Linked DNA regions of Rhinolophus ferrumequinum. The protein of the gene in region 4 purifies or fractionates together with the protein of the main gene of each other region. This does not show direct contact. Links are inferred from orthologs where the notes say so. Each region holds a gene or a part of one and is shown on either strand. Other genes may lie near its edges. The genes, in order: DNAAF10, CCDC85C, PEAK1 and PPP1CC.

The links.
Region 1: the proteins of PPP1CC (region 4) and DNAAF10 purify together in Homo sapiens (affinity purification with mass spectrometry; 7 studies listed by BioGRID and IntAct, counting the BioPlex papers as one, with this or other methods). This does not show direct contact. The link is inferred for Rhinolophus ferrumequinum from reciprocal best matches to the Homo sapiens genes PPP1CC and DNAAF10.
Region 2: the proteins of PPP1CC (region 4) and CCDC85C purify together in Homo sapiens (affinity purification with mass spectrometry; 5 studies listed by BioGRID and IntAct, counting the BioPlex papers as one, with this or other methods). This does not show direct contact. The link is inferred for Rhinolophus ferrumequinum from reciprocal best matches to the Homo sapiens genes PPP1CC and CCDC85C.
Region 3: the proteins of PPP1CC (region 4) and PEAK1 purify together in Homo sapiens (affinity purification with mass spectrometry; 6 studies listed by BioGRID and IntAct, counting the BioPlex papers as one, with this or other methods). This does not show direct contact. The link is inferred for Rhinolophus ferrumequinum from reciprocal best matches to the Homo sapiens genes PPP1CC and PEAK1.

Annotation. Positions count from the first base shown.
Region 1 is NC_046296.1:22,363,033-22,369,873, reverse strand, and holds the start of DNAAF10 (dynein axonemal assembly factor 10), read right to left. Parts: upstream 3,010-6,841; 5' UTR 2,902-3,009; coding exon 2,719-2,901; intron 1-2,718. Other genes in the region: RNA-binding protein PNO1, read left to right, coding at 3,404-3,610, 3,846-3,995, 6,062-6,145, 6,324-6,384, 6,618-6,735. UniProt on the Homo sapiens protein: Key assembly factor specifically required for the stability of axonemal dynein heavy chains in cytoplasm.
Region 2 is NC_046289.1:4,646,799-4,654,663, reverse strand, and holds the start of CCDC85C (coiled-coil domain-containing protein 85C), read right to left. Parts: upstream 3,001-7,865; 5' UTR 2,935-3,000; coding exon 2,154-2,934; intron 1-2,153. UniProt on the Homo sapiens protein: May play a role in cell-cell adhesion and epithelium development through its interaction with proteins of the beta-catenin family. May play an important role in cortical development, especially in the maintenance of radial glia.
Region 3 is NC_046289.1:100,468,660-100,476,677, forward strand, and holds the start of PEAK1 (inactive tyrosine-protein kinase PEAK1), read left to right. Parts: upstream 1-5,014; 5' UTR 5,015-5,231; intron 5,232-8,018. Other genes in the region: HMG20A (high mobility group protein 20A), read right to left, coding at 4,171-4,256. UniProt on the Homo sapiens protein: Probable catalytically inactive kinase. Scaffolding protein that regulates the cytoskeleton to control cell spreading and migration by modulating focal adhesion dynamics. Acts as a scaffold for mediating EGFR signaling.
Region 4 is NC_046308.1:6,336,629-6,344,361, forward strand, and holds the start of PPP1CC (serine/threonine-protein phosphatase PP1-gamma catalytic subunit), read right to left. Parts: upstream 3,010-7,733; 5' UTR 2,816-3,009; coding exon 2,761-2,815; intron 1-2,760. UniProt on the Homo sapiens protein: Protein phosphatase that associates with over 200 regulatory proteins to form highly specific holoenzymes which dephosphorylate hundreds of biological targets.

The DNA.
Region 1 (6,841 bases), on a different chromosome or scaffold from region 4:
TAACTTTCTTCTTTTCCTATATCTATTTTTAAAATGTTCAAGCTTTGCGCAGTGGCAGTATCCTAGCCAATGAGGTTTATCCATAGCGTAATTACGGCTAATTGAAAACTAAAATGTTCTATCGTTAACACATCACTTTTGTTTAAAAGGCCAAATTATTTTTAAAATGCATGAGACTCCTCCAGAATCTCTACAAAAAACAAAGAGCACTATTTTACTTTATGAACAAGTATATTCCTAAAATGTACACAAATGATATAGTTTTGTAAAAAAAGTTACAAGTCTGTAGATAGATGCTCTTTGGTTGAGCTTTGATTGGTATTTGTTCCTAATACTTCACCGCTAAGTTTCTTTCTGCTATTCTAATATTTCCCATCTGTTCAAACCCCTGACCCCAATCGAATGGTCAATAAACCAATATTTAAATTTCCCAAGTTATATTATTTTATAGACATACATTTACTCATTCTTTTAACAAATAATTTATTGAGTGACTGCTCCTTATATACCACACTAAAGAATGACACCTTCCTTCCTCTCCAGGAGCTTACAATCTACCATATTTTGCCGTGTATAACGCACACTTTTTTGCCCAAATTTGTGAGGGAAAAACAAGGATGCATGTTATACACGGGTAGTACTAATTCCGCATCTATATAAATGTTTTTAATTCTTTTATTTCTGCTTATGAGTTAAAAGTGTAACTCTAGAAAGCAGTAACGATATCCATATGCAAAATAATACCCTGGAATACGATAATCAGTTTTGTTGAACTTACCATGAACTTGCAACGATGAAGAGTTCTTGGCCTTCTACAAAGCGTAAATATCATAAATTTGTTACCAGTACATAAAATTTTTTGTACTTTGTACTTGTTCTTGTGTTTTGTGATTATTTGTTACATAAAATTTCTTGTACCGTAATATGATTAAAAATAAATGCTAAAATTCCTTTATAATACAAAAAACAAGTATCTAAATGTAAACAAATAAAAATTTGAATTAAAAAAATTAAAACAAAAGGTTTTTTCCCTGAAAGTTTGGGCCAAAAGGATAGGTGCACATTATACACAGGGAGTACATTATACAGAGCAAAATACGGTAATTAGAGATAAATGGAACAGAATGATATAGAGAGGGTGCCAAAAAAATGTATATACATTTTAAGAAAAAAACCGTATTAAAATTACGCTGATGGTAACCACTTTGAGGACCTTTTGTAATTGCAGAAGTCAAACGTGATTTGTATTCATCTTTTGTTATCGGTATATATTGAGCATTACAATTTTAATAGTTTTTCCCTTTCTTAAAATGTGTATACATTTTTTTTGGCACCCTTTGTATTTCAGGCACAGATAGTAAGTACCATAGGAATGCAATGTAAGAAAAGTTACGTTGTGTGGGGATCAGCAAGAGACTTCATAAATCAAAAAATCTGAACTGGACCTTTAAATAGCAACACGTAACTGGGAGATACAACAAAAGGTAGAAAAGAACAAGCCATGTTTATTCAGAGTAGAGTGCCTGACTAGAGAAGACAAACTGACCAAGAAACCTGGCACTCATAGAAAATTAAAGTGGAATGGGGCCTTACATACCTCCTAATCTAATCCTTCCTATCGAAATTGTTTAACCCCTTAGTCCTCCAAGCAGATTCTCTCCATAGCTTTTGATCCTTGGAGTTGTCAACCTTCCCTGTAGTCTATTACAACCCTAAACATCTGAGTATGACAATTTTTTTTTTTAGGCAACCCAAATCAAGGCATTTTTAAAACTCTAAATTGGTATAAAAATGTTAGTTAATGTCACTACTTTCAAATTTTCACAAGTAATCTCTACGAAACTCGTAAATCTGGGCTTGCCACACCCGGCTTACAGCCCTTCAGTGATGTCCCATTTTTCTTAGAAAAAAGGCATAAATCTTTAAATGACTTACAGGTCTTGCAACGCTGGTCCCTGCTTACCTCTCCTGTTTCAGAAAATAACGTCTCTCCCACCGCTGAGCTTCCGCATATGCTGTTTCCTCTGGAAACCTCCTTCTCTGCTCCTAGTTTGGCCTAGTTAGTTTCCACTCATCTCAAATCTGGTTTTACTCTCATAGAACGGTGTTCCTTTACGCTAGAGTTCACCTTGGTTTGTATTTATGCATCGTTGGTGTGATTATTTAACTGATACTTTCTCCCACTAGACAACTCCATGAGATCGGCGACATTGTCATTCACACGCCTGGGAACACCCGTCAATCAACTGATACTTGTTGAAAGAATGAATGTTAGGTTGTCTCCTCCAATTACACCGCAGGCATCCCGGTGCCTGCTTTGGCTCTGCCTGTGTGAAGAAGCATTTTACTAACAGGGGCCTTATTGACAGACTCTCCACAAACTGCGCACTGCCCAGAAGGGCCTCGAATTTAGACCCGAAGTCGGAACGTCACTTCCAGAGATTTCGCTCGGGATTGTGGAGGTGGGTGAAGGAAAGGGCCGGCAGGGCGCGGATGCACAAGCCCTCGGAGAATTCAAGACTCCAACGTAAGCATTTTACGTCGAAGTTATTCCTCAATCTTCAGTCATCTCCGCTACTCCCGCGCAGCTTAAGCTGTGCTTTTAGGGGACCCTGAACGAAAACTTTGCCAAAAAGAAATGCAGACCCCCAAGATCCGCACTCGTCGCCAACGGCACTCCCAGATCCTGGAACTGGGCAGTCTCGACCCTGAACCCACCTCCCGAAGCAGCTTTAGGTCCCCGTGCTGGATCTCGTACAGCTGAATGACGCCGGTACCCCGTGCGAAGTTGCCCATGGTCACAAATTTGGCGCTGCAGGGCACCCACTTACAGTCAAATACCGTGTAGTTGAGGCCCTTCTGGATATGGGCGATGATCTGAGGCTTCTCAAAGGCCGACATAGTGCAGCCGACTTCGCCTCCTCCGACTGACACACTCAGACCCTGACAAAACACTAACCTGGAAACCAGACTCCAAACAGTAATGACAGTTTGTCCTTCCCACTTGCCGTACTCGTCCCCGAACGCCCTAGCAAGCTGGATGTAGTTGTCTTAGTTAATGCCAGATGTGCTCCTGAAGTCACACAAGATTTTTCTTCACCGATGGCACAAATTTGTTCATTGCCTTTACCTACTGCCTTTCGCACATATTCAGATGAGAGATCACAAAATGCTCGGGCTGTGGCGGGACCAGAGGGAGACCCTAAGACTAAGGCATATTGTAGGATAACCCCCTTTCCTTCCCAACAAGCACACACAGAATCGGGCTTGAAGTCCCCTGCGTGGGACCTCTTAGGAAAGGGGGCGGAGCCCTGGGGTGGGTTGGCCGACGCTGGAGCCGCCGCGGTGCCGCCGCGCACGTGTTCGAGCCGGAAGCGCCGGCTGCTCCTGGAGATTTCTGGGGATGGCGACCGAAATGGAGGCACAGAGCACCGGGGCCGAGGACGGCTTCACCCAGGTCACCCGCAAGGGTGGCCGGCGAGCGAAGAAACGGCCGGCCGAGGAGATCTCCGCGGCGGGGAAGGACGGAGACGCGGGCCCCATGGACACGGAGGAGGCCCGGCCCGCGAAGAGGCCTGTCTTCCCGCCCCTCTCCGGGGACAGGTTCCTGGTACTGGCGGGACCATAGGACAGGAACGGGGTAGAGGCCAGAGGGTGGTCAAGCCGGTGGCCTTTGGGTGATGTTGAAGCTGCGGGGCCTCTTCTGGGGTGAAGTTTTTGGAGAAGTGACTCGGCTGAAGTTTAATTCTTTCAGTTAAAGGAAGCTTTTTTGAGGATCAGCTGTCATTTTACAACTCCGCCCCCATTCCTCCAGACATCTCGACTTGTGTGTTCTTGTATTGTAGGATGGGAAAGAAGAAACAAGAAAAATTCCAGTCCCAGCTAACAGATACACACCATTGAAAGAAAACTGGATGAAGATATTTACTCCCATTGTAGAACACTTGGGACTTCAGATACGCTTTAACTTGAAATCGAGGAATGTAGAAATCAGGGTAAGGAGAATGTCAACCTTTTCCCAATACACTAGGGTTTCTCCTACAGGGATGAAAATGCATGAATAGATTTTCCTCACTGGGACTTATTTTGTTAAATGGTTTTCTCCCAGTTTTCTAATTTAGTGATTTTTGAACTTTTCAAATGCCTTCGGAGTCTGCATTTAATACATATTAGTTGAATTCATATATATCGAGTCTGATATATGAAGTGAAGAGGTTGTCATAAACATAAGTATGTAATTAATGAGCTGAAGTATGTGCTGCAATACAGGCAGTATATATTTTAATGGTATTATTTTGGGGGAAAATGTATTATTTTGAGAATAAGTATAAATTATATATATATGTATACACACACACATCTATGTCTACATATATGTGTATATTTTTTTCGTTCCATGGTATCAGTCCAGGAGTTATACAATTAAAATTAATTGACTTTGGGCTTTTTCTGAGTGCCAATTTTGTATCAGAATCAAAGACCAAAATTAATTATATCTTCCTTTTTGAGGATTGTTATACTGCCATCAGGACTGGTATAGACTCCTCTCTGCTGAGGGACTAGAATAATGGAATAAAGCTGAGAGGCACTACTCCAAACTGTTGGTAAAGTTTAAAATATAGAACTTGACAGTAGAGGTTCTTGCCACTTTCATTCAGGTTATTATGGTTTCATGCCAAAACTTGTTTCCCTTGCTTCATTGCTTTGTGTTTTCACCACTCCATCCTGTATGCCAGAGCCAGATTCATTTTCCCAGATCACACTGATTTTATTATGATACCCTGTTATCTTCAGTGTGTCTGAAGGATAAAAGTTAAGTTTTTGACTGAACTTGCCTTTCAAGTAGGTGTCTCATCATCTCTTTGAACATTTTTATGTCCATTCATACGGATGGGTTTCCTCTCTCATGAAGGCCCTCCCCTCCCTACATCCTTTGTCTTCCTCCCTGGGTGCCATTCATCTTCAGGGTCTAGCTCAAGTTCTTTCTCCTTTATGATCGCTCCATTTTTCAGTTATGTCTTCAGTGACTAAACTGTCATTGCACTTAGCCGTCCTGTGTGTTGCAGCGTCATCACTAACACTCGTTGATACTGCCGTATGCTAAGCAGTGGTGCTTGGTGTGCAGTGCTCCATTTTGGCCTTTAGAACAGCCCTACGAGGTAGCTGACATATCCCCGGCTTATGGATGTGAGGAAACTGAGGGTCAAAGGAGTGTCGGCCAAAGTCATCAAGATCATAAGTGACTCTTGATGCTAGTGGCGACCTCTCAGGATCTCCTATTCTTACCTCCTTATTTTACAGATGAGAAAACTTAAGACCTAGAGTATCTATGGGACTTGCCCAAGGTCACGTATGGGATTGGGGCTGGGGTCTAGTTTTAAATGTGTCATTATATAACCCTTGTATGATTTTAAATTTGCCAAATAGTTGGTCTCCTCAACTAGATTGTGAGTCTGTGTGGGAAAATGGAAATAACAGTTCTGCAGTCAGACCTGGATTTGAATTTTTAACCTTTTTCACTTTTTAGTACTTTGGTTTCCTCAAATATAAAGTATTTATATCACTTAAGATTCAGGGTTGTCAGGAAGCAGAACTAGAGTGTGTCAAGCATCTTTGTAGTGCGTGTCATTTACAGTGGTATTTTATGAATAGCAGCTATTTCTGTGATTATCAGATAAACTCTGAGGGCAGGATCCCTGCTTACACCAAGAATGGTAGTCAGTACTGGAGTTGGTGGTCTGAGGATGGAAGTCCTTCGGCCTGTGAGCCACTGTGCTGCGCCAGAGGCATCTCGCTGTTAACCCCCAAGGCAGATCAGTCATGGAGTGCAGCCAGACACTGGACAGTCTGTGGGTGGAACTGTCCAGCTCTGGAGCCGGGCAAGTTTTGTTTTGCAAATTAAACACAGTACTTACCTCACCCAAAACTGGGTCAGAGAGAAAATACTGGGGCGGGTGGTGGTGAAGGAAATTACAATAGTGGGCAAGGTCATTCCTAGTATTCTGTTAGAATGTTATTTTTTTCATCCCCACCTACAATTTGTGCCTTTTTTTTAAAACAGACTTGTAAAGAAACCAAAGATGTTAGTGCTCTGACAAAAGCAGCTGATTTTGTGAAAGCCTTTATTCTCGGATTTCAGGTGGAGGTGAGTGATTTCATGACATCTGAAATAGGGGCTTGAAACATACTCAGTATGATTGTTTCAGTGGATTTGGGCATTTATTTTTCCATTTGAGTTTTGTACAATTTGTAAATTTTAGCTTAATGCTCATTCTCAGTTATCTAAGTGGAAAGGCGTCACAGTATTTATTTTTATATTGTAGGACGCACTTGCCCTCATTAGGTTGGATGACCTCTTCTTAGAGTCTTTTGAAATTACAGATGGTGAGTATGTGGTAGTCGTTTATTGCAAAATACTGTACTTTTATACTGCTGACTTAGTATTGTGTGTGACACCCCACTTTCTAATAGCATCAAGTGAGCTGTATTAGCAGGTTTTTTAAAAAAATGTATATTTTGTGTCTTTTAGTAGAGAATTTTCGTTAATGAGTAAACTTGACGTGGAAGTGGGTGGTGCACTGGAATGGCTTGCCTAGAGGTCTTGCTTTTCTTATTAGTGAAGCCCCTGAAGGGAGACCACCTGTCGAGGGCAATAGGAAGAATCGCTGGCAAAGGAGGAAAAACCAAGTTCACCATAGAGAATGTGACACGGACGCGGATAGTTTTGGCTGATGTGTAAGTATGTGATCTTAAGAAAATTACTGTCATGATTTATATTTGATCTTTGGCTGGTTTCAAAAGATCATAAAGATTGTATTTTATGCATAATGTTGCCACTAAA
Region 2 (7,865 bases), on a different chromosome or scaffold from region 4:
ACTCAGGCTGAGGCTCATTATTTGTTTTATCTACAGCCTGCAAAAAGGCGTTTCTAAGAGAAGGGCCTTGCCTTATTTCCAGGCACCCTGTTCGTCTTGTTGGGAGAACAGCTCAAGGCCACCCATGACTTTAAGAGACAAAACTAACAGTAGCTGCACTGTCTGCAACTGAAATCTGTGATAATGATGCTGAATTTTCAGTGCGCCCCAAAGCACAGGTCTGCCACCACAAAGCCTGCAGCAGTCCTGTTCGCAGTGTGTGGGGGACCTGGGGGAGGGGTACATGATTCTGCAGGAAACCCTACACCTCAACCCCCACCCACCCAGTGGGGTGGAAACCCTCAGGTCTAGTGCAGTTCCCCACTCCTGCATCACTGGCTGCTGCAACTGGCACACAGCCAGACAGGGTTCGAGTCCCCTTGTCCAAAAGGTGACAGAACTTCTCTGCAAATATGCTAAACACTCAAGCACCTCAGTGCCCTGCAGTGAACCACTTTTGCCAGGTGTCACCAATGACGCAGCTGAAAACATTTCATTTCCCAGCCACAGGACTGAAGCAGTCCCTCCCTATTAATGCACTTGGGGAAACCCAGGCCCAGAAATCTGACTCTCCCAAGGCCCCCCCAGAAGGTGAAGCCAGAGAGGCTAGGACTGGAGTTCCTCATCCCCCAGACCCTGAAACGCCAACACGTTAAACCACCTAACTCTGAGCTACTGCCACTGGCCTTAAGGAGCCTGAGGTTGAAGTGGGGGGAGGGTCGGTGAATACAGAGTTACAAAAAGTAACCGGAGTGGTAGTCATAGATTGCTAATCAGTAACAAAATATCGGTCTCAACCTGGTCCTGCCCTGAACTCACAAGCTGGAAAGATAAATAAAGGAAAAACTGTCCTACACTAATTATCACCACACCTCCAGTTCCCACCCCAGACCCCACCCCAAGGTGCCTTCACAGGCCACTTGGCCACCACACTAGAGAGGTCCCTCCCCTGCTTAGGCTGTCACTCTGGGAAAGAGCGGTCATTTAAGGCCTAGATATATTTTACTCTGAACTAGGGAAGCCTTTAAAAGAACCAGAAAGGGCTGTTTAATCTCCACCTTTGGGCAAACAGTTCAGGTAGCAGCAATTGTCACCAGAACTGGGAACTAAGCCACCAAAAATGTGAAAGAACAGGGAGGTAGGAGAGGAATGAGGCAGCAGGGAGGAGGGCAAACGATCAGGGGAGTTGGGACTGGGCGCCACTGTTCCACTCCCCAGACCCAAGCCGGGGGCGCCCTGCACTGGGCCCAACAGTCAGTCACACTGGCCTGGAAGACCTGAGCTGTCATGAGGCCAAAGGTCCCGCCACCCACACACACCCTTAACACCTAACACCATGACTCTTCCTGAAAGGCGACCAACAGTTTACAAATCCCTTCAGAGGCTCTCTCCACCTCAGATCCTGGAGGCAGGGACCACCATCTCCATTCTACAGACAAGGAAACTGAGGCATACAGAGGAAAAAGGGCCAAGGATCCACTCCTGGCACATAGGTTCCTCTGGAAAGTTAGAGCCTCCGCTGAGAAAGGTCTCCCCACCCCTGAGAAGTGCAGGACAATTAACAAACCCAGAAGGCTCTAAGCCCCATCCTCTGGCCCAATGACTCTGGGTCTCATCCTAGCAGCCTGTGCTCCTTCCCAGCCAGCAGGCAGCACGAGGAGGCTCAGGTGGAATTCCAGCCCCAGCACACACGTGGACGGAGCTGGGGGTGGGGAAAGCCTGCTGCTCCGTCAGAGGGAAAATTCATGCATGCTAAAAGGGCCTTTCTTTTTGTTTTTTCCCCATGAAGAACTTCCCACTCCCCGACAAGGGTCTCCGGGCTGGGGTGAGGCGCCCCTGGCCAGTCCTGCCTGCCCGGATACTCATACTGATAACTCTGCAAGACAGAAACTTTTCTGGGGTCTGGTGGGTCCCGGCCGAGCTGCGGCTCAGAAGCTGGGCAGGGACACGCCTCCAGCAATTGAGCAGAAAAAGGCCACCCAAAGCTCTACTGCGGGTGTGCGTGGGATCGCCCTGCCCAGAGTATGGATGGCAGCTGGAGGAGAGGTCTGGAATGGTGGCGCCCGCGGGGGAAGGGGCCGTGACCCGCGCTGCCCCGCCGGTATTGTCCTTACCGTGCAGGCCATTGGGGATGCTTCGGTGGTGCGGTGGCGCCGACAGGTCGTCCAGGGATCTGCGCGTGGCTACGGCTTTGCTGTCGGGGACCTTGTGCGGCCCCGGAGGCAGCAGCGGGGGCGGCACGTGGTGGTGGTGGTCCGGGCTGCCGCCGCTCCCCGCGCTCGACGTGCTGCTGCCGTCGCCCACGTCGCGGGCCCCGGTGCCCGCCGCGCCACCCGCCAGCGGCCCGCTCAGGCTGGCCTGGCTGTCGATGGAGCTGCGGGACCCCGCGCCGCCGCCGCCCGCGCCGCCTGCACCCCCCGCCAGCGCCGCGCGCTCCTCGTCCAGCAGGAGCACCAGCTCCTTGAGCTCCAGGTTCTCGCGCAGCAGGGCCTCCTGGCGCGCCTCAAGCTCGCGCAGCTTCTGCTGCGAGCGGGCCACCTCGTGCCACACGGCGCCAGCCGCGTGGCGCCCGAAGCGCTGCCACTCGCGCGCCAGCTTGCGCCCCTTCTGCCGGTCGTCGTCGAGGAAGCAGCAGAGCTCGCGCAGCTCCTGGTTGTCGTCCTGCAGCCGCTGGTTCACGTCCTTGAGGCCGCGGATCTCCAGCAGGTGCTGCTGCAGCCGCCGGTTCACGTCGCGCATCAGGCCGCCGTGCTCCAGCATGAGGCCCACCTTCTCGCCCTCCGCTCGCCGCAGCCGCCGCGCCAGCTCCTCCTTGCTCCAGCGGAGCAGCTCCTCGTCCGGCACCTGGCTCAGCTCCTCCGACGCCGCCGCCGCCGCCGCCGGGGGCTTCGCCATGGCAGGGCCGTCACCACGGCATCGCCCGCGCCCTCGCCGGGCCGGCGCTCCCAGCGCCCGGGCTGTGCTGGGCCGGTCCGCGCGCGGGTGGGGGTCGGCCGGGGGTGCGTGCGGCCCGCCCCGCGCCGCCTCTCGCGTCCTCACGCAGCGCCTGCCGGGGCCGCCGGGAACCCGCGCGTCTCCGGGCTCGGCGAGCAGGGACCACAGCTGCGTCCGCCGCCGCGGTGCCAGGCGCTCCCCGGACTCCGGCGAAGCAGGCGGAGGCCCGCCCCCGGCCCAGCTCCGGGAGCCCCAGCCTCCCCGCCCACTCCGGGCGGGGAGGGGGCGGGGCGCCGTGGCCCGGCCCCGCCTCCGGGGGAGCGAGGGGGCGGGGTGAGGCGCGGCCGAGCCCCGACATCCCCCCGCGCTATGTGCCCGCCCGCCAGGCGCCCTGCCAGAGGCGCGTTCGAGCCGCGGTCCCGCCCTCCCGCCCATCCGATTGGGTCTCTTCGGGGGTGTGTGGGAGGGGCGGGGCGCACGCGGGGGACGCCGAAGAGATGGTACAGTCCACCCACTGGGCTTCCAACGCTCCCCCATCCCCCCGGCGGTTCAAGTTTCTGCGCCCGGAGGACGCTGCCTGGGCCAATCCTAGGGCTACAGGGCGCTTTTAAAATGCAGGTACAGTATGGGGAGGGCGACGGTGGGAAAGGTAGGGCCGGGCTTCCCTTAAAGGAGACGTGCGGAATTGCGCGCAGAGCCCCATCCCAGGCCCTCGACCCCCGCCCACCCTCCCCGTACCCAATAAACACCCACGACCCGGAGGACAGCTCCCGTTCTCCCTCCCGGGGCACCAGAGTCCAGCTCAGTCTGAGATACAACGAACAATAGGCCTGTGACACGGGGGTCGCTCTCCCGGCGGCAGGGCGGCTCTTTGTCCCCTACCCTGCCCCCTGCTCCTTCACCCCCATCTCCACCGCGGTGCCTTGCCGGAACTCGCAGAGAGCTTGCGTCTCCTCTCCAGCCCGGGGCTGTGGCTCTATCTTGTGAGCACGGGGAGGGCCAGGGCCTCGCCCGCGGTGTCCCGGAGCACCTCACCCTATTCCCTGCCCCGAGGGGACAAGGGCGCCAGGAACGTGTCCCCGCCCCGAGCGGCGCTCAAAGCTCCACTCCCCGCACACCCGGCCGCCGGTCCCAGGGACAACGGGGGGAATCTGCGATTCGCAAGGTGAAAACCTCTGGGACAGTGGAGAAAGGTCTCCCACTGGGGCCTTAACACCGGGGTTGCAGGGCGCCGAGCGGGCTGCAGAACCCCCTCCCAGCCGACAGCCTCGCCCCTTCCCACAGCCTGTGAGTCTGTCTCGTTATCCTCGTGTCCCCGAAGAGCATTTACGGCTCGTCTGCTGAGAGCAGAGCGGAGGGGGGGGTGTCGGTCCCCCGGGACCTGCAAGGAGATAAAACCCGCGCACTCGACCGTGAGCAGCCACAGCCTGGAGCGCGCGCCCGCGCAGCAGCTGATGTCCCCATTTACAGTTGCTCAACCATTCACCCGACACCCGTGTTCGCAGCGCCTTCTCTAGGCCAGACCTGTTCTAGACTCCCAGGGGTTTCTGCAGGGGACGACAGCAGAGGCCACGGCCCTCTCGGGGGAGAGACCCGGAGAAGATAAACAAATTAGGTAACTATGAGACTGTAGTAAGTGCTGGGCTGGGAATTAAGACAAGCTGCTGTCACAGAAAGTGATAATCAGTTACTTTAGATCCCGTGGTCAGGGAGGACCTCTGAGGAGGTGCATCTAATCTGAAATCTGAAAGAAAAGGACAAAGACAGGAGGAAGGGAACCCTAGGTGGAGAGAACACTTAGTGCAGAGGCCCTGGGGTTGGCCTGTTAGTGGCCTATTCAAGGAAGGCCAGTGAGGCTGGGAATGGACAAGGAAGGGGGGTGAGAGATGAGGCCAGAGGGGCCAACTCATGCCTGGTTCTAAGGCAGCTGGGAAAGCAGTGGGGAGTTAGCAGGAAGCAACATGACCCGATTTGCCTTTTCGGAGACTCGCTTGTAGGCCATATGTGGAGAAGGGATTGGGGGTGAGGGGTGTGCACAGAAGTCCAGATTCAGTACCTCCTTCCCCCCACTCCCATCCACTCCTCTCTGCAGGTAGATGTTCAGGAGACCAGGTGGGAAGAGCATGGGCCTGAGGGGCATAGCTTGGAGGATTAAGCCCAGGGGAGCTGACATTCCCCCAGACCCTGGCGAGGCCGTTCTCCCCTTCTGGGGCACTGTGCTCCACAGGCCCAGCCATTTGGGTTTGGAGAGAAAAAGGGTTTCAGCTCATATTGGGGAGGCCATGGGTCTTTCTCACCCCAAGAAGCCAAATTAAACAGCTCCATGAAGGCTCCCCCCACCCAATGAAGCCTGGGCACAGATCTGCTTCTGGGAGAGTCAGAACTGAGCATACGATGCACGACTCACTAGGGAAGTCTCAGGCAGGATTAACCCTGTACTTGTGGGAACCCCCTTCCCATTTGCCTGTGGCTTTTCATGCTTCCTGTGGCTTGCATCCCCTGATCCTCCTCCCCTGGCAGCTTTAGCTGAACTTTCTGAGAGAAAAATGAAGCCTCCATCTAGATGAGGTTTGTTTGCATCATCTACAGACGGCGGGACCGAGAGTCCCCTGGCCAAGAGTTCCACAAGAGCGTCCCCAACATCACTCTGGTGCAGCAAAGACAAAGTGCTACAGATGAGGCCACCGGGTAGCTTGAGAGGAAGTCTCTGCTCCCCGCACCATGGCGGACAGGCTCGGGCAGAGCAGGACAGGATGGCAGAAGGCTGAGAGGGCCCACAGCTGAAACAGGCTCCTGAAGCAAGAGGGCCATCTAAGCAGGAGACCCACGGGCCCACAAAAGGCCCACATCCCCAGGGTCCAGTAAGAGGCGCCAAGTCCCCTAGAATACTCAAAGCCCAGCAGACCCTGTAGCCCGAGCCAGGATCTCGGAAATGTCACATGTCTGCTTTTTAGCCCCTGGGACATGAGAAGCCCTGCCTTGTCATGAAAATGGTAAAGCCAGATCATGGACCTCTAACACAGTAATTCTCTAGATAGCCACCCAGTCAACGGACTTGTGGGCCTTTTAATAAAGATGCACCACCAATCCCCAATTTCCCCCCCAGAATCTCCTAGACTGTATGTGTCCATTTAAAGCCACACGAATGTTTTTGAGAGCCAGCTGGGGCGAGAGCCGGTATCCTAACACAGAGTAAATAAAGTATTCCAAAATACCCCAAAATATTCCAAATTACCACCCTGGTGGTAAGTGATTGTCTCCCCACTGGGAAGGGAAAGGGCTCTGTTACTCTCCTGCGTGACTGGGGCACGCAGGTTACGCAGGTTACCGTGACTGGGGGTGCAGGTTACCATCTGGTGTTTGCTGAGTGAATGTGCGACCCTTCGGTGCATGGCCCACTGAGTCTGAACCCTTCATTTTGAAGATGAGGAAACTGAGCCCAGGAAGGTCACTTTCATTGCCCAAGGTCAATTCATTCACTGGTTTTACTGAACACAAAAATATTACATAAGACTTTACACATAAATGCGTGTATATATATATATACACACACACGTATATATACGCATTTATGTGTAAAGTCTTATGTAATATTTTTGTGTATATATATATATATATATATATATGCGATCATATATACGTTGTAAATTGTACCACAAGAGATGAGCAGAACACGTCATTTTGGAAGCATCTGAGACACTGGGAGCAGCTTCCTGGAGGAGCTGACGCTGGAGTTGATTCTTGAAGAATGAGTAGGAGTTTGTCAGATTGTTAGGAGGGAGGAGAGGGTCAGGATACTCCAGGTGGATGGACCAGCACAAGCCAAGGCCCAAGGTGAGCAGCAGTGAGGGTGTGTCCAGACACAGCCACTGCTGGAGTATAGGAGTGGAGCTGGGTGGCAAAGGGCTCTGTGAGCCGTGGGAGGTGGTATCACCCTCTCCCTGGGGCTTTGATAGATAACAACAGCAACAACAGTAATAATGATCACCACCACCTACCACTTGCCCGAGCTCCGTCTGATTCTAAACCAGCCCTCACGTGATGGTTTTAACAGCCCTAGGAGATGTTGTCATTAGCTCTTCTGGCATTGAACATGGATTCCTGTTGGCTTGGTTGTTTGTTTCCACGAAGCTAAGATCACCGAGTGTGAACTTATGGGCAGTGTTCAGAGGCCGAGGAAGGTGGTGTGCCCAGCAGAGGGTTGTGCTACGCTGAATGTTTACGATGCCCATGGAAAAGGGCCCGTAATTCTTGACACGGATAGTGTTGAAGGCTCGCTTCTGCGTGCCCACACGTGCTAGGGTTTTACACAGATGGGCTCATTGAGTCCTCACTGTCGTCCTGTGAGGTAACAGTTCTCTATCCCCATGTTACAAAGGGGTACACTGAGGCTCACATGGCCCCCACCCCTACTTGTGAAAGCCAAAACGATCTCCATACCTTGCCAAATGGCCCCCGGGGGAGCTTCTGCTGTCCTAATACCCATTGCACGAACATATTACTTTTACTTTTCTCCTGTTGAAGATTTGTTTCTAGTTTTTTGCTTTAACCTGCAATGCGGCCATGGATGGATATTCTTACACACATATCAGAATGTACATGAGCATGAACTTGGCTCACGTTTGTGCCGAGACACAGTATGGCTGGGTCATACAGTGCACACAGCTTCAGGGTGACCAGATGACGCCAGCTCCTTTTCAAAGAGGTGGTGCTACTTCGCACTGCCGCCAGCGGGGTATAGAGTGTGGCTTGCCTGTCCTTGCCAACGGCTGGTGGTGTCACTCTGGTGGGTGAAGCTTTGTGCACTTTCCACGACCCACTTTGTCTCCCTTGGGGCTCTCAGAGCACAAGAGAAGCCCAGGCCAAATTTCATACATGAGGTGCCCAGTGAA
Region 3 (8,018 bases), on a different chromosome or scaffold from region 4:
TATGTGAATGGTATTGTGTCAGGTATGACAGGAGGCACAAATAGGAATAAGAGATAGTCTGAAGCCTTTTATGGCAGTACATAAACCATACATATAATAACAATAACAAACCGAAACAACAATAGCAGCAGCACTGAATATTAAATACTGTAAGTACAAAATGGAGGTTCAACTGAGCATGTATGATTGAGAGACTGGAAAGACAGACATCAAGAAATATTTCTTGAAGTTGAAGATGGTACCTGAGAAAGGGCCTCAAAGAAGGTGGCATCTGATAAGGATTTTTAGGGAAAGCAAAAGTATTTCAAGGCAGAGGACAGCATGAACAAAGATAGACAGGATATAGTATAGAACTTTTTTTTCAGAGACCAACCTAGTTAGGAATGTACTATAGATAGCTAATGAGAGATATGGTCATAGTGTGAAGGGTGTTGAATGTTAGGCTTAGCATTTAAATAGGCTTAGAAGAATGGGTCTAAAGTCTTTCCACAAAAATTCAAATTACTTTAGTGATTCCTTAACCTTTTCTTAAAACTTTTCTATTATGTATGTTTTCTAAAGTGACCATGGAAATTAGTGATACCATGTTTCCCCGAAAATAAGACCTAGCTGGACCATCAGCTCTAATGCGTCTTTTGGAGCAAAAATTAATATAAGACTCGGGCTTAGTTTAATATACCAGGTCTTATATTAATTTTTGCTCCAAAAGATGCATTAGAGCTGATTGTCTGGCTAGGTCTTATTTTCAGGGAAACATGGTGTCTCCTTCTCACAAGAAACGAAAAATAAAATCTTGACAGCTAAGTGAGCATGCTATTAGGGAAAGACAGAATTTCAATAATCCTAGTACTGTATCCTATACTTTTGGGAATATGAAAGACTTAAAACAGTCATGTGGGCAAATCCCAATAGCTAGAAGAGCAGAAACAAGACTGAGAGGAAAATAATAGCATTCATTAAGCTCATAATAACAGCCATTGTGCCTGGTGATTTACATATAATATCCTTGATCCACCAAACAACCCCATTTAGGTTTATGGCAACTGAGGCTCAGAGAGGTCAAGTAAACTGCTCAAGGCTGCCAAGCTAATAAGCTCAGCTAGTAAAATGTCCACACCAGTTTTGAACGCAGGGCTGTGTGATGCCGTATTTCCCCCATTGTTCACTTTTGTTTTTACCATATAAAGGAGTGAGTCTAGGATGGTAGGATCATAATGCATGTGTTAATGAATGAGGCTGAATATTTAACACATGGGCTTGATGGGGTGGAGGAAAAACAGGTTGAAATTTTCAAAACTGGGTTTAGAATGGCTTGGAGATCAACCCTGAGAGAGATCAAGTGTAGGGTTGCTTCTTGATCCAATCTGAACGATGATCACACTACAGATCTTACTTAGGAATAGTAAGTAATTTGGAAATGAGAGTAAACTCCAATAGAACACGGGTATTTGTCTGTGTTCACTGATGCACTCCAAGTCCCTAATACAGTGATTAGCACACAGTAGGCCCACAGTAAACTTTTGTTGAAATCACAAAAAGTCATGTAAGAGGTATTCTCATTTGAACACTCTTGAAGGCCCTGAAGTACAGGTAAAGATTGCAGAGTAATAAGTTTAAAAACCATTCAAAAACCATTCAAGTTATTAGGAGACTCTCTTTAACACTTGACCTCATGGCAAAATCTACTAAAACAACACACGAAAAAGTTATAGTTGTAAAACATTAGTATGATTTTACAAAAAAAGGTAGACAAAAGAATGAAAAGACACTTTTGCATTATATATGGTGTCTAGTGTTTTGTGGCTAATCAAATGTCACTGAGATGAAATACAGAATTTTGACTTACTGCTTTAATATTTCAAACCTCTGTGAACAGTGTATCCAAATGACTGCTTCTGGTTATCTAATCTAAACACTCTAAAAATGGACAAGTTCTTTATTATAGATGGCAACTAATAGAATGAAAATCTCAAATTCATTAACTCAAAGATGTAACAAGAGCACACTTACAAAAGCATTTTTCTAACTTTGATAGTATGGTTCTATTAGAACATGCAAAGAAAACTGCAACAAAAAGCATTAAGAAAAAAAAAAAAAGCCTTTGGGAGATAGCAATCCTCTTCACAGAAACACTTTTAGAGAGAATTAAAAGCAGGTTCGCAGGTTCCATGACTTTCCCTTTATTTTTCACAAGCTTTTCTAGTATTTCTTTTTGGATGGAACCAATGAATAACTACCACTTATCACAAAACATCCTTTCTCAGATATGTGCTTTATATATTGCAATCTTCTGAACAGTTTTTCAAGCTGCTCAAGTCTTTCAACCCCAGCAATTTTTCTTATTTCTATTACACTGCACTTATTCCATGAAACAGCACAGAAACCAATTTAATCAACTTTGCTTTCTTTTTTAAAAAACTTCTTTGCTTTCCGAAGTTTCCAAAAGGCAATACTACTATCTCAATCAATATTTTAACGATGTTTTCTCTTTTTCATTTAGTTCCAATCTTTACTTACTTCAGTAATTCCTAATACTATAGTTTAACAGTTTAATTTGTCAGAATGACCATATCATATTTTCCTCTATATTACAGTAATATAGAAGACAGTGAACACCTTCTCTCTAAGCAATTAATTAATACTTGAGGCAGTCTACATGTCTGTAACCTTATAATGACAACAGACATTTTGTCTTGCCTTTTCAACTACTGCAGAAATGTGGTAGTCTTTAAAAAGATAACTCATTGATTTTTAGGGTCTTAGATCTTTCTTGTCTACAGAAGGTTAAAACATATTTTTTCCCTTTATTGTAACATGTAATTTAAAACATTTTCTAATAAACTCTAAACAAAGTAACTTTTTAAAAGAACTAGAATTAAAATAATTGCAAATTCTGAGGACAGATTAGGTAACAATCTCAAAAGAAAAAAATACACTGGCTTCATTCTTTTAAAAATCCTTGAAGAACATCACAGTTCACTTGATATTCTAAAATTGCTACAGTTGTTGAGATTTCGTAATTTCCAAATAGACTGATTCCTTCGTTATACATCCACCCACCCCAAGTATTGTGGTACTTGAAAACAGAAGCCAAGAAATAAAAATTGTTGAGTGTTCATTCCACTTCACATATAGTTACTTATAAACCATTGATAATATAGGAAACAGAAATTTTTTTCTTAATCATCTTTTGTCCTTTGTGAACCAAATTCCCCCCGCCCCCCACTTAAAATCTGGGCTGAATCTCCTGATTCTTGCACCATGCTTTAAAACCCCAAAGAACAAATAGATACGGCTGTTGAACTGATCTGAATTTAATTAAATCACAAAGGGGGAAAATGTATTCGGCTAACTTTCACAAATGCTACATGTTACAATTATGATTATTTTTAAGTCTGAGGAAGTTGTTCTCAGGCACAGGGCAAACCCTGTAGTCCAAAATCAACAGGTTTAGGAAATTTAAGATACCATATCAATTAAGGCAACACCAAGTATTTGAGTACTTCAGTATGATACTTTCACTCCGGTAAGGTGAACATGCCTCATAATTTATGTAAAATGTCGCGTTCTGTAGAGTTCCTGTGTCATGTCAAGGCAGAGAACACTAAACCTGTCGGTGAAGGTTGGACGTGAGTCGGGGAGCAGAGCTGGACAATTACGAGTTACACAAGAAAGTACAGCATGTCATTTCGCAAAGAGGAGGAGAGAATTTTAACAAATGGTTTCTATTCTTTGGCGAGCGCATTAAGAAAATTTTGTCGGTGAGAAAATTTTCCATCTTACACATTGAAACAAAATTCACATAAATTCTTACTGGAGGCTGGAGATGAGCATAAATTGGTGGAATAATCTAACTTTTCACATAAAACACAATTCCAAACCTTTAAAATACGTGCTGTACTGGCAACAAGCACCACCTTTTCAAGACCTCGCCGGCACAGGAAGTGTGGGAGGGACACCCCCAAATCATCCCCCTACCCCACAGGAAGTGAGTTGTTTCCCCTCCCCCAGGACGGCCTTCTTCCCCTCCCCCAACCGGAAGTGAGGCGCCCCCATTCAGTCGGCCTCAACCCGAGACAAACCAATTAACAACAGCAAAAGAGCGATGGTCTTCAAGGGGTGAAGGGCACCCCCACTGTGGCCACCCCCAAGCTCGCCTTGCTTACTGACCTGCTGACGATAGGGGCAGGCAGGGGCCTGGGGCTAAAGAAAGTCCCTGCACAGAGGACAATTCTCTGAGCCCCTCTCAATCGCATTCACTCTTCTCACTCCGTCGTCTCGCAGCTTGACAAAAAATTCCTCCGCAATACTTTATTATGATATCCTTCTTTCTTTACGTAATTGTTTAACTATCTTCCCATAGGCAACTTCTCTCATCGCAGTAACATTTAAAATTGTTTCGGTAAGGAGAAAAATGAAATACTATTCCCAATACCTTCCGAAAAATGAAGGGATTATTTTGTTCAAAAGCGGCGAAGGACTACGTGACTACGCAAAGCGAGACTTATTTTCGCGAAGGTTTCTGGGAAGTGTAGTTTTTAAGAATTGCTAAGGTCTGCAGTAAGTATTGTAGCTTAAATTGGCAATTACTATCGAATGGAGTCCTTGAAAACACAAGTTTCGTGTTCGACGCAGGCTGACCTAGGAGGCTCCGGCACCAAATGGGCCAATACTTTGTTTCCCTTTTCCTCTAGAACTTACTTGAACCGAAATTTCCCTTCATGCCGGCCCGAGGTTCTGGTCGTCCCGCCCTCCTCCTTTGGTCACACTCTCCTTAGCCAATCAGAAGCCCTCTAGGTCTCATTCTATTGGGGTAGGAACACGAGAAGGCGGGGCCTCACGGTGATACCTCCTGAGGGACGGAGGCGCGACAGGGCAGAGAGGGTCGAGGGCTTGTGCGCGCGTGCGGGCTCGCTCCTCAAGGAGCGCGGCGGCGAGTGCGCGCGCGGAGGGCGGTGCGCGGGGCTGGGAGGAGGCGGGCGGGCTGGCTGGTGGGCTGGGCGGGCGGCCGGGAGCGCGCGGTGGACTCGGCGGCGTCGAGTAGTTAGTTGTTGTTAGTGTCAGTTGGTCGGCGGCGGTGGCCGCGGTGAGCAGGAAGGGGACCGGCCGGCTGGCGATGGTGGTCACCGCGGTGGCGTGTGCGCCCCTCAGGTAACGGGGGCAAGGCTGTCCGCGTCCCCTTCGTCCCCTTCTCCTCTCGCGCCGGCTTGCGGAACCAGGGTCGCCGCGAGGTGAGGGCGCTAACTGGGGGGAATCCGGGCGGGGCAGCGCGGGGTCTGGGGAGCGCCGCCGCGGGGGCTCGGGCGGCGGCCCCGGCGCGGGCTCTGCGGCCCCGGCCAACCCTGCGCCCCCCCGCCCCTGTGCCCCCGGGGCCCGCCGGCACCGCGCGCCCCCTCGCGCCCCTTCCTGCGGCGGTGGCGGCAGCGGCGGCGGCCCCGGTAGCTCGGCGCCCCCCAGAGGAGGGAAAGTTGGGATCTGGCGGCGACGGACGTCTCCGGGCGCGGCTGGGAGCCTGGTGGGGAAAGTGAAGGCTGGATGGGGGAGCTGGCCGGCGGGAGCTTGGGGCAGGAAGGGCTCCCGTCCTCTTGCTAAGTTCGCATGGACGTCTCGCCCCGATCCCCGGAGCACCCGGCGCAGCCTAGCCAGCAGCGCCTGGACGAAACCGGTGGCTCTTTGCCTGCTCACTTGGGGCTGCGGTTTGTGAGCCCCCTAACTAACGTGCGGCTTTGCTTGGTTGGTCGGTTTGTTTCTCCTTTGCCCTTTGACTCATCCCGTTCTTGCAACTTTTCTTACCTCCCGCGATGGGGACTTGCGGTCTGAACCCCCTTCCCACCTCCCTCCCCGTCGCCTGCACCACCCGTCTGAGAGTTGGATTTCGTGTTTCGTCCTTTGGTGACGTTAAAGACTGCTGAGAGCAACAGGAAAGAGGAGCCCTCCCACCTTTAAATGTTACTTTCTTGCAATCCGTTATTATTTTTAAGACCCAAGTTTAGGAATTTGAGAGCTGTGGAATGGAGTTGTTGGAAGGCTGGCGTTTTGACGAATTAAAGGAAAACTAGATTTCATCTTTATTGGCCTTGCTATAGGAAGCCTAATACATTTTCCTTCTGCCTCTGTTAAATATGGTAAGAGTATACGTTAAATTACATATTTGGAGACCAACATACAAGGCTATTTTTTAGGTCATTAGATGATGTATGTCAACAGCTTTTCACCCGAATTGGGATGGCCTTGAGGATTCTGTTTTGGGGCCTACCTACTGATTTTTGTCTACCAAAGTAAATGAAATGATGTAGTAATGTGTGTATTTGGCAAACCCATATTGCTCTCTGCGGTGTGGAAGTTTTACGTGAATTATCCACAGGGGTAAAACTTTCCATGTGCAATCTTGGATACCTGCTTCTTGATGGCTTCCGTAATCTCAGAACATTTCTAGACAGTGCAATTCACTGACTACCTTAATTATTTTCTGAAGTGCTTGGCACTTCTCTTTGGTGACTCGTTTAGTAAACTATAATGGCAAGTAGGGTACATTTTCATGGCTTCAAATATGGAGTTAGAGTCTCAGCCCAGAGATTAACAGTTAACAATGGAAGCAGAATTCATACCATTGCTAGTGAGTTTTGGCTATGACCAACTCACAAACTATGTGAAAAACAAACATCTTTCCATAGCTGTCAGAGGGGAAGAGGAGAGAATATTTTATCATGTCTTTATTTTGGAGACTCTAACATGGCTGTATTATGTGGGAAAAAATGTCAGATTATTTTCTTTAAGGATTTTTGATGTGTGGTCCTCCTCTCCATCCCTCTACCCTCCATTGAGGGGCTGACATTTATGCTTGGCTGGCTTCCAGGAAGCGAAGAAAAGTGTTTTGTTGAAAGGAAAAGATAAGATTGCTTTGAACTATTATACTATGACTATTCATTTTACCCAGTACAAAGAAATGTCCTTGATAATTTTTGTACCCCATTAACATGCTGTCAGAATTCATTTTTAAACATACCCCGAGGCCCATAAGGAAATAATGCCACTTCATAACTGTTCCTGACAATCACATTAAAAAGTTGTTCCTGGAATGTGTTATGCGTGTATTCCTATAAACATTTATCTTTGTATATTTATGGTAATGTAAATATTTAAGTCTGTGAGCTTAAAAACTTTGATTTGCTTATTTGCATACATGTTTTTCAACGTCTAGCAGTACCAACCATATTTGCCAAATAAGCATCAGCCATAAATTCATGCTCTGGCACATTTCATATAGTAACTCTTTGAAATTGCTCCATGGTGAAGCATCATGAGATTAGCATTTCTTCGTGAGAGAGATTTGTTGTTGTTGTTAACTGTAGTGACGTGCTATGTAAGTGGAACAGGTGCGGGGCTCTCGCTGTTTGTGTGGAAACCTGCCAGATCATACTCTTTTGTTGGATGGGTTGTTTAAGTAATTTAGAAACCAAACTGTGGCTCCTGGCATGCCAAGTGTGAGTTCATGGCTCCATATCATTGCTGCAAATACCTATTTTCACTGCAAGAGGCAAGTGTGTGTGATGAACTTTATTTTCTCATTGCTATTCTCTTTACAGTAATTCCTACTTCCCACCATCACCTGAGTCCTTTCATTACTGGAGAGCTCCTGGGAAAGTCGAGGCTCCTTCATTACTGGTTGTTTTCCTTGGGGAAATTCTAGTAACTTTCAGGCCAGGAATTGATAGTTCACATTTGTTTGACACATATTTCGAGTGCCTTTTAAGTGTTAGGCATGGTGGTAGGCCCTGAGTATATGTAGAATGATATCCCTTTTTGCAAGGAGCGTACAGTTTAAGAGAAGATAGCTGATAACCAATAATTACATTGTGATGTGTTGTAGGACAGGTATAAGCAGATTCTTATGGATGGAAGCACAGAGGAGCAAGGGTAGTTGACTAACTACCCACCAAGACTTAGGGTCTTGGTGGCACGAGAGTGTCCTGTAATACTTCTTAGTGGGTTACCTGAGCTAGTCTTCAAAAATTGGA
Region 4 (7,733 bases):
AGGGATATGAGACCAAATCAGCAGCTAGCTTATTTTCTCTCTTAAATCCAAGTTTTACCATGCAGTTATTTAAACAATCAAACATTCGTTATAAAAAGAGAAATAACCTTATAAAGTTTTATCATCAACGAGGCAAAACTTGGATAAGAGCTTCTAAGGTGGGTTGCACAAGTGATACTTAGCTTAAGGAAAAACTACTGAAAGTGCAAAAAAAAAAGAACTGCAAAGCCGGTGACTAAGATCTAAATCAACATGTTGTTTTTCTTAAAGACTTCACTTTTGAGTTGCCTTTTCAGTACTATCAACGAGCTACTTTTCAACTAGCTTAAAAGATGAGGCAATTCTGAACATGTAAAAATTCTAACAAGGTCCCCCAAAATCACACTGCCTCCATTTTCAGATATATTTAAATCTTAATTAAAATTTTTGGGGAACAGGGTTTTTGGAAAATTACAAAAATCACAAAATGTATTATAAACATCTTCTAACTTGAATCTATACATACCGTGTTTCCCCAAAAACAAGACCCAGCCGGACAATCAGCTCTAATGCGTCGTTTGGAGCAAAAATTAATATAAGACGCCAGTATATTATATCTTATCATATTATGACCTGATAAGACCAGGTCTTATATTAATTTTTGTTTCAAAAGACGCATTAGAGCTGACTGTCTGGCTAGGTCGTATTTTCGGGAAAACACAGTATACATGTGTGTATATGTATATTCAATAGATCATCACCATTTCTCTGCCAACTTAACATCGATGAGAAATAAAAAAAGGAATATAAGTATACTGTGCAGCTGGCCTTTTCCCAAGGCACTAAAACATACTACTCTATATTAATTTTAACAAAAAAAATTTTTAAATCTGGTTTTTAAGTACAATATAACAACAGAGAGAAACTATTAAGAAACAATGACTGATTTCATTTTAAATGATCCAAGTTTACCAAGGCAAATTTCTTAGCACAATTTAAAAAATAAGACTAAAATTTACAAAATCTGTTATGTGAATAGAATTATGGGCAAACCAAAACTTAAGTTAACGAGACTTAACTGATCTTAAATTTTGTTTCTAATCCATAGATTTCACATTTTCCTGTTTCCTCAGTGAAATAAAGCCCCCCCCCCCCAATCTAGCCATACATCCCTGCAGAGAAGTGCAGAACTTCAAAATTTTAAATGAAAATTTTAATAAAAAGTTCCTTTCTTATTGCAAACTGGTTCAATTGTTTCTGGACCACTGCTGCATCATATAAATCAAAGAACGGCATTAACTAGTATGAAAAGCATGGTTCTTATAATAAATGCAGGTACTGAATGAATGATAAGGTCTTCACCCACAAATGGGAATGGCATTTCAAGAGCTTTTCAGGGGTCCATTCAGTAGGTTTTTTCCTTTTCTTTTAATAACATATAAAAGGAAAATACCCCGCACAGATTAAGAAAACATATTTTCAGGAATTTCATTTTAATGACTTAATTCAAAAGATCTGAAAATTCTAACTCCATGTTCATCATGCTGTTAACTCCATCTCACAGTATTTATAGTCCAACAATATTCTAGGAGGATAATGTAAAGGCATTAAAGAAGTTAAAACTCAGCCAAATCTACATTATCCCGTGCCCAAATAAAGGGATTTGAAATCTCCCAAAGTAGACGGGCTCTGGGAACCGGAGGCGGAGGAGGGAGTTCACTCCAGCGTCCCTCTTTAAGATCCTAACTTCTTCCGTCTCCCACATCAATACGAATCAATTGCAATGCATCTCACGAGTCTTAGGTCAGCCAAAGCCAAAGCTTTATTTTAACCTTCGCTTAACCACTGGACACCTCCTTCCTTCACACATAGCGTCCTAGCTCCCTGGATTTGAAATCTGTCACTAATTGTGTAACCTTGGTCAAGTGACTTCACTTCTGTGTCTTAGTTTCTTCTGAAAAACCGGAAAAAACAATAGGACCTACCTCGCAGAAACTGGTGGCAGAATAAATGAATCTGTGTAAAGTGCTCAAAAACAAAAAAAATCCAGACACATAGTAAGCGCTGGCTATCATGATTGTAATTTATTAGACGAACGCAAAGCGCTTTACAGAGCCTGGCACATAGGAAAGATCATAACGAAACTGTCATCATCCTTGGTTTCACGTTCAGAAAAGAGCGCGGAGACCTCAAGATAAAAGACGACTTGAAAAGAGTATTTGGGAGCGCAGGAGAAGATGGGTTCCAACATTCCCTTGAGAGGTGAAGGCTGGTCACTAAGTAACAAGAAATGAGCCCCCAGACCCTAGCTCCAGGGAAAATAAAAATGAGCAAGACAGGATAGAAGCCCTTCAACCCGGTGGAACCCACATCCCATCAAATCGCTTTATCGGAGAGGACGAGTACCAGAAATTACGGAACACGCCGTCCTGCAGGTTGGACTGGGGTCCCTAACCTTCTCTCCTCCAAAGATTGGTCCGGTTTATGGGGTGCAAGGGGGTACGACCGGAAACGTGGGGGTGGGGAGCAGAGTTTTCAAATTTCCACGACCAGGAAGAAGGCTGCACTCGAGTGCAATGAATGAGTGGAGCCGGGAGAGTCCGCGGGTTGGGCCAAGTGCGGACCCAGGCCGGCCTTCCTCCGGCAGAAGCCCCCAGCCCGCGGGCCAACTCGCGGGCTCATTCCCCTCCGCTGTGCAAGCCCAACCGGCCTCCCAACTCCCCCCACCGCGAGCCCTCGAGGCCACCCACCTCCCCTCAGCCCACCCGCCGCCCCCTTCACCTTCCAGCAGCCGTTGGATGATGCTGTCGATGTTGAGTTTATCTATATCCGCCATCGCCTTCCCACCGCCGACCTTCCCGCAGCGGCGCCGCCGGCGGCTCGCGCCCGGGACTCACACCTCCTTTCCCACGCCACGAGCACAGCGGCAGTGGTGGCGGCGGTGGCAGCAGCCGCTGCGGGTCCCCCCCCAACCGCCCCGCTCCCTGCTTCCTCCTTCTCTCCCCACTGGAACCACGAGAAGAACAAAATGGCCGCCGACTCCTTAGGCAGCCTCGGGCGGCGCACGGATGCGCGCGGGGGAGTGCAGCGGCCCGGCCGGGACTTCTTTATGGGCCATAGGGCGCACGGGAGGGGGCGGGGACAGGGCGCGAGAAGGGGGCGGGGCCAGAGCGCGGGAATGGGGGAGGAGACGGTTTAGCGTAACTGCGACCGCGCGTGGGATCCTTCCGCCAAACGGGCCGAGCAAATAGGCCCCCTGGCGGGAGCGTGAATTGCAAAGTTACACGCGGTAGTTGAGGATGGGGGAAAAGATGTTGTGCGCCCTAGAACTAAGGCCTCCGCGGGATGCTGTTCACTGGGGCCAGATGTTTGCTGACCTGCTATGTGGAAGCCCAGCGAAGGAATTCGGGGGTCCTGGAATTCACTCCTTAAGATAAACCTAGGCTGGAGGTGGAGAGGGAGAATAATAGAAGTAGATTGACTTATTTTGGATTCAAATTTGCTGAGACTTGGCGGGAAAGAGAAAGATTTATTTGGTGACTAATAATAATAAAAAAGAATCTTCTCCCAGATAAATCAAAATGTTAACAGTTATTCATTCTGAGGGGTGGGAATATGGGTATTTGTATATATGTTTTGTGTGCGCTCCATAACTTTTACATTTGGCGAAAAAAATTTTTTAATCTACCCTCAATTTTTTTCATCGTCCTTATGTTTGGGTTATCTTTCTTGAACTCGGTAAATTATATAATCATGTGAAAGGTTACCCTGATTCTAGCCAGAACGAAGGAGAACGAGCGTTTGTAGCAATTAAGGGGAGAATTTGCAGATATCGCGCGTTGGAGTTGGAGGCCGGTATAGAAGAGCGAGTTTGCAGGGGCAGGAATTGTTGGCAGGTCCTGGGTTCTGCAGACACGCGAGGAAACTTTGGCCCATTTTCCTCGGCCTCCCAGCCTCCCCAAGTCCATCTCTCCACAGGAAGCCCCCAAACACCTCCGGGCTTTGCGGGTCTCCTTTATCTGGGTTTGGATGTACAGCCCACACTCAGAAAACACATCTGCTCTCTTGGATCTTGACCTTTTAATTTCTGTTTTTTCCTGCAGCGATTTACAGTTTGCAAAGCCCTTCCCCTCCCCTGAGAAATTCCTTTTGTTTTTCAAGGCACGCAGGGTGCACGAATTCCCATCCCCAAGTGCCATGGAGGTGATTGCACCATCCGGGCATCCATCCTCAGATTAGACGTGTGTGTGTGTGTGTGTGTGTGTGTGTGTGTGTGTGTGTGGCGGGTGGGGGTGGTAAGCACAGCAGGGCGCCAGTCCTTGCACGTGGACCGGCTCCTGTCTCCAGAGCGCTGAGGTTCAGAGCACCCCCTGCTCTGCTCAGCGACTTGTTTCATTACCCAGTCACCAACTGCACTCTCCAGAGCTGTGGCTCTGTTCACTAGAAAACACACACAAGTGTTGTTTGTCAGCCCAGGGCACAGAGCCCTGTTGGTGACATTCGGAGTGGATGCCCAGCGCTGTTGTGAATAGCTGGCTGTGGAGGGCAGGGTGGCTCTCCCTGGACGAGTTGAGACTCTGGGCTCCTCCAGAACAGGGCCATCCTGGCAATGACAATTAGAGCAGGAATATGAAAGCGATTCATTCAGCAGACATATTTATGGAGCACCTACTCTGTGCCAGGCATTGTTCTAGGAATGGAAGCAGGAGTGAACAAGACAGACCAGGCCCTTCTCTTATGGAGAGTCATCTAGTGAGCCAGACAGACAATAAACAAAGATGCAAATAAAAATATCAGCTTCTAATAAGTGCAATGGAGAAAGAAAACAAACACTGTACTCATCTTCTTAGTATGTGCCCAAAACTATCTCACTGAATCCCCAAGGCAATCCTAGAAATTATGTGCTATTCCTACCACACCCATGTTACAGGTGAAAAAAAATGAGACAGAGAGGCTAGGTTGTTTGCCAAAGGTCACACAGGTAGTAAGTTACAGAGCCAGGGCTGGAACTCAGGACAGCCAGAAACTAAAGCCCTTATATTCAATAAATCCCCACTGAATCCCCAGCACCCAGCACAACCCTGGCACACACTAGGCACATAACAAATGTGGAACCCAATGGACTGATCTAAGTGTGTCTCCACCCACAGTGAGAGTGCCATAATTTTCCATATACAAAATAGCAGGTGTGTTAACATCTGCTGACGTCGGGGCTGGAGAAGGACTTCAGACTGGACTGGGACATGGGGAGGGCCTCTTTGTCCACACGCCATTCTTTGCTGGGCTACTCCCCTCCAGAGTCCAGTTTTGCTGGCATGCGTGTAAAAGAAGTAGCTGGCTCTGAGCCTGAGACTGGCATAAGCTCACAGAGTAGGCCTGAACAGCTCCCAGAACACAGCCAACAGCTCTGGGACGAAAAACCTTATCCCCTACTGGCCTTTTTCTGACCTCCCCAAGGACCAGCCGACAAGCATTTGCCAGAAAAGCTACTGTCTAAATAGATGGTGTGTCCCTTCCCCTCTCTAGTTTGTCTATTTGTAAAATGAGGAGAGTAGATAAAAATGTACTTTTCGAACTGTCTTCCTTGGATCCACAGAGCTTTTTAGGGGCTTGTTGAAGATGATGGGGAGCTAATAGGGTTCTGGTCCCCAACTCCTGGAGTCAACCAACGTAAGAACCATAGCACACAGTAAGCACTCTATCAAAATTAACTATTATTACTATTATCTGCTTTAGACATTGAGCTTTCACAAAAGATTTGAAGCGGGGGGGTGTAGCTAAAGTATTTGAACCAATAGTATTTCTAAGGATACTGTAAGCTTTGAGGACCCTGTGCCTAAATGGGCCAAGCTGGTAACATGAAAGAATTAAACCACAGGTGGGTAGGAACTGTGTGTGATGAATTGGAGAGCCATCTAAGGTGTGGCCACTTCCCAACTCTGCTCCATTGGAGCCTTGTGGGATACGGTGTGGCCAGATCCTCTGAGTTTTCAAGAGAACTTGAATTTGGGGCATATGGATTTTTATGTGAAATGTTCCAATTTTTAAGTTGGTCATGAATTCCAATTCGTTTAAAACACTGTGTGAGGCTGACAAAATACATCTGTGGGCTACTTTTGGCCCTAGGCCAACAATTTGTAACTCTATTCTAGAATTTTGGGGGTGAACTCTTCCCCTTCCAATTTAATGAGCGTTATTATTGTTAAATGATTCAAAGAAATGTTGTTGATGAGGTTTGCCAGAAAATCTGGACCTACTTGGATATTGTGAAGGTTTTGTATAAAGTAGGAAACCGTAGGAAAAAATACGGGTGAAAGCCCTTCGACAGAGTCCCCAGCTTTATTTCAATGTCCTGTGGTATTACCAGCAGACACTGGTATTGTTTTTTTGCAAATGTTTCTTGAGGCCTTCCTCTGTGTGAGAAGCTGGGGACATAGCAGTGAACAAATCAGCATAGTTCTCATAGAACTCCCAGTCTAGTGGAGGAGACAGACAGGAACAGAGAAACAGTCAAAGAAGGTAATTCCAGAAAATCATGAGTTTTGTGAGAGAATTAGAAGGGATCATGTCACCACATAGTAGAGAAACTCTGAGGATTTGACATTTGAGTCAAAATCAGAAGATTGAGAAAGAGAATCATGGAAGAGTAGTCCCCCATCAAGGAAACAGCAAGTGCAAAGGACCTGAGGTAGGAACAATATTCCAGCACTGGGGGAATGGAGAAAAGGCTAGAGTGGCTGGAGTATAGTGTGAGGGGGAGGGTGTTAGGAGAGAAGGATGAAGTAGGCGAAGGCCAGATCACTCCGGGCCCTGTAGGCCCCAGGAAGACAGATTTTATTCTAAGCCTAATGGAAAACAACTAGAGGGTGTTAGGCAGAGGAGTGACGTGATCTGATTTGGTTTTTAAATAAGCTTATTTTTTGAAACAATTTTAGGTTTACTGAGAAGTTGCAAAGATAATACAAAGAGTTTCCATATACCATTCACTCAGTTTCCCCTTAATGTTAATGTCTTACATAAGCGTGGCATTGCTCTTAATTTTTCAAAAGACCTAAATCATAAAGAAATGTTGGATCGTATAACATCATATAACCTCATTAGCCAGAGAGCATCTTCTCCTAAAGAAGATCTGATTTCATTTTTAAAAGATCCCTTTGGTGTCTGTAAGGAGAATGGACTATAGGTCGGCAGGAGTGGGAACTGTGAGATCAGGGAGAGGGGCTGACGAAAAACGTAACATCCATGCTCTGAGCCTCAGTTTCCTCATCTGCAAAATGGGGATATCACTCATCTCAAAAGGTTGTGAGAATGAACTTCCCAATGTACTTGGAGAGATAATAGTAATAATGAGAACAATGATGGTGACAATAGCTAGCATTTATTGAGTGCTTACTGTGTGCCAGTCTTTGTGCTCATGGCCATTCCTCATGATCAGAGAGAGTAGATTCTTTGGGATGTGTCCAGAAGCCTTCTCCGAGGAGCGGGGTTTAGATGGGCCTTTCCAAATTTCTTGAACTATCCCTGGCCCTCATGGAGTCCATGTTGATGTTGGGTGTGTCTCTCTGAGAAGGCCCTAAATATACTTCCATCTGGACTTACCCAACAGAGAAATAAGGATGATTACCGCCTTGCTAAATGTTCCGTAGCTTCACAAAATGACTCACTCCGCGGTCGGGAAAGCAGCAAGCTGTCCTGGTGTCTGGAGGGTGGATTGCACTGCCATTTGGAACTAAGTCTGGCAAAGGGAGGTTCAC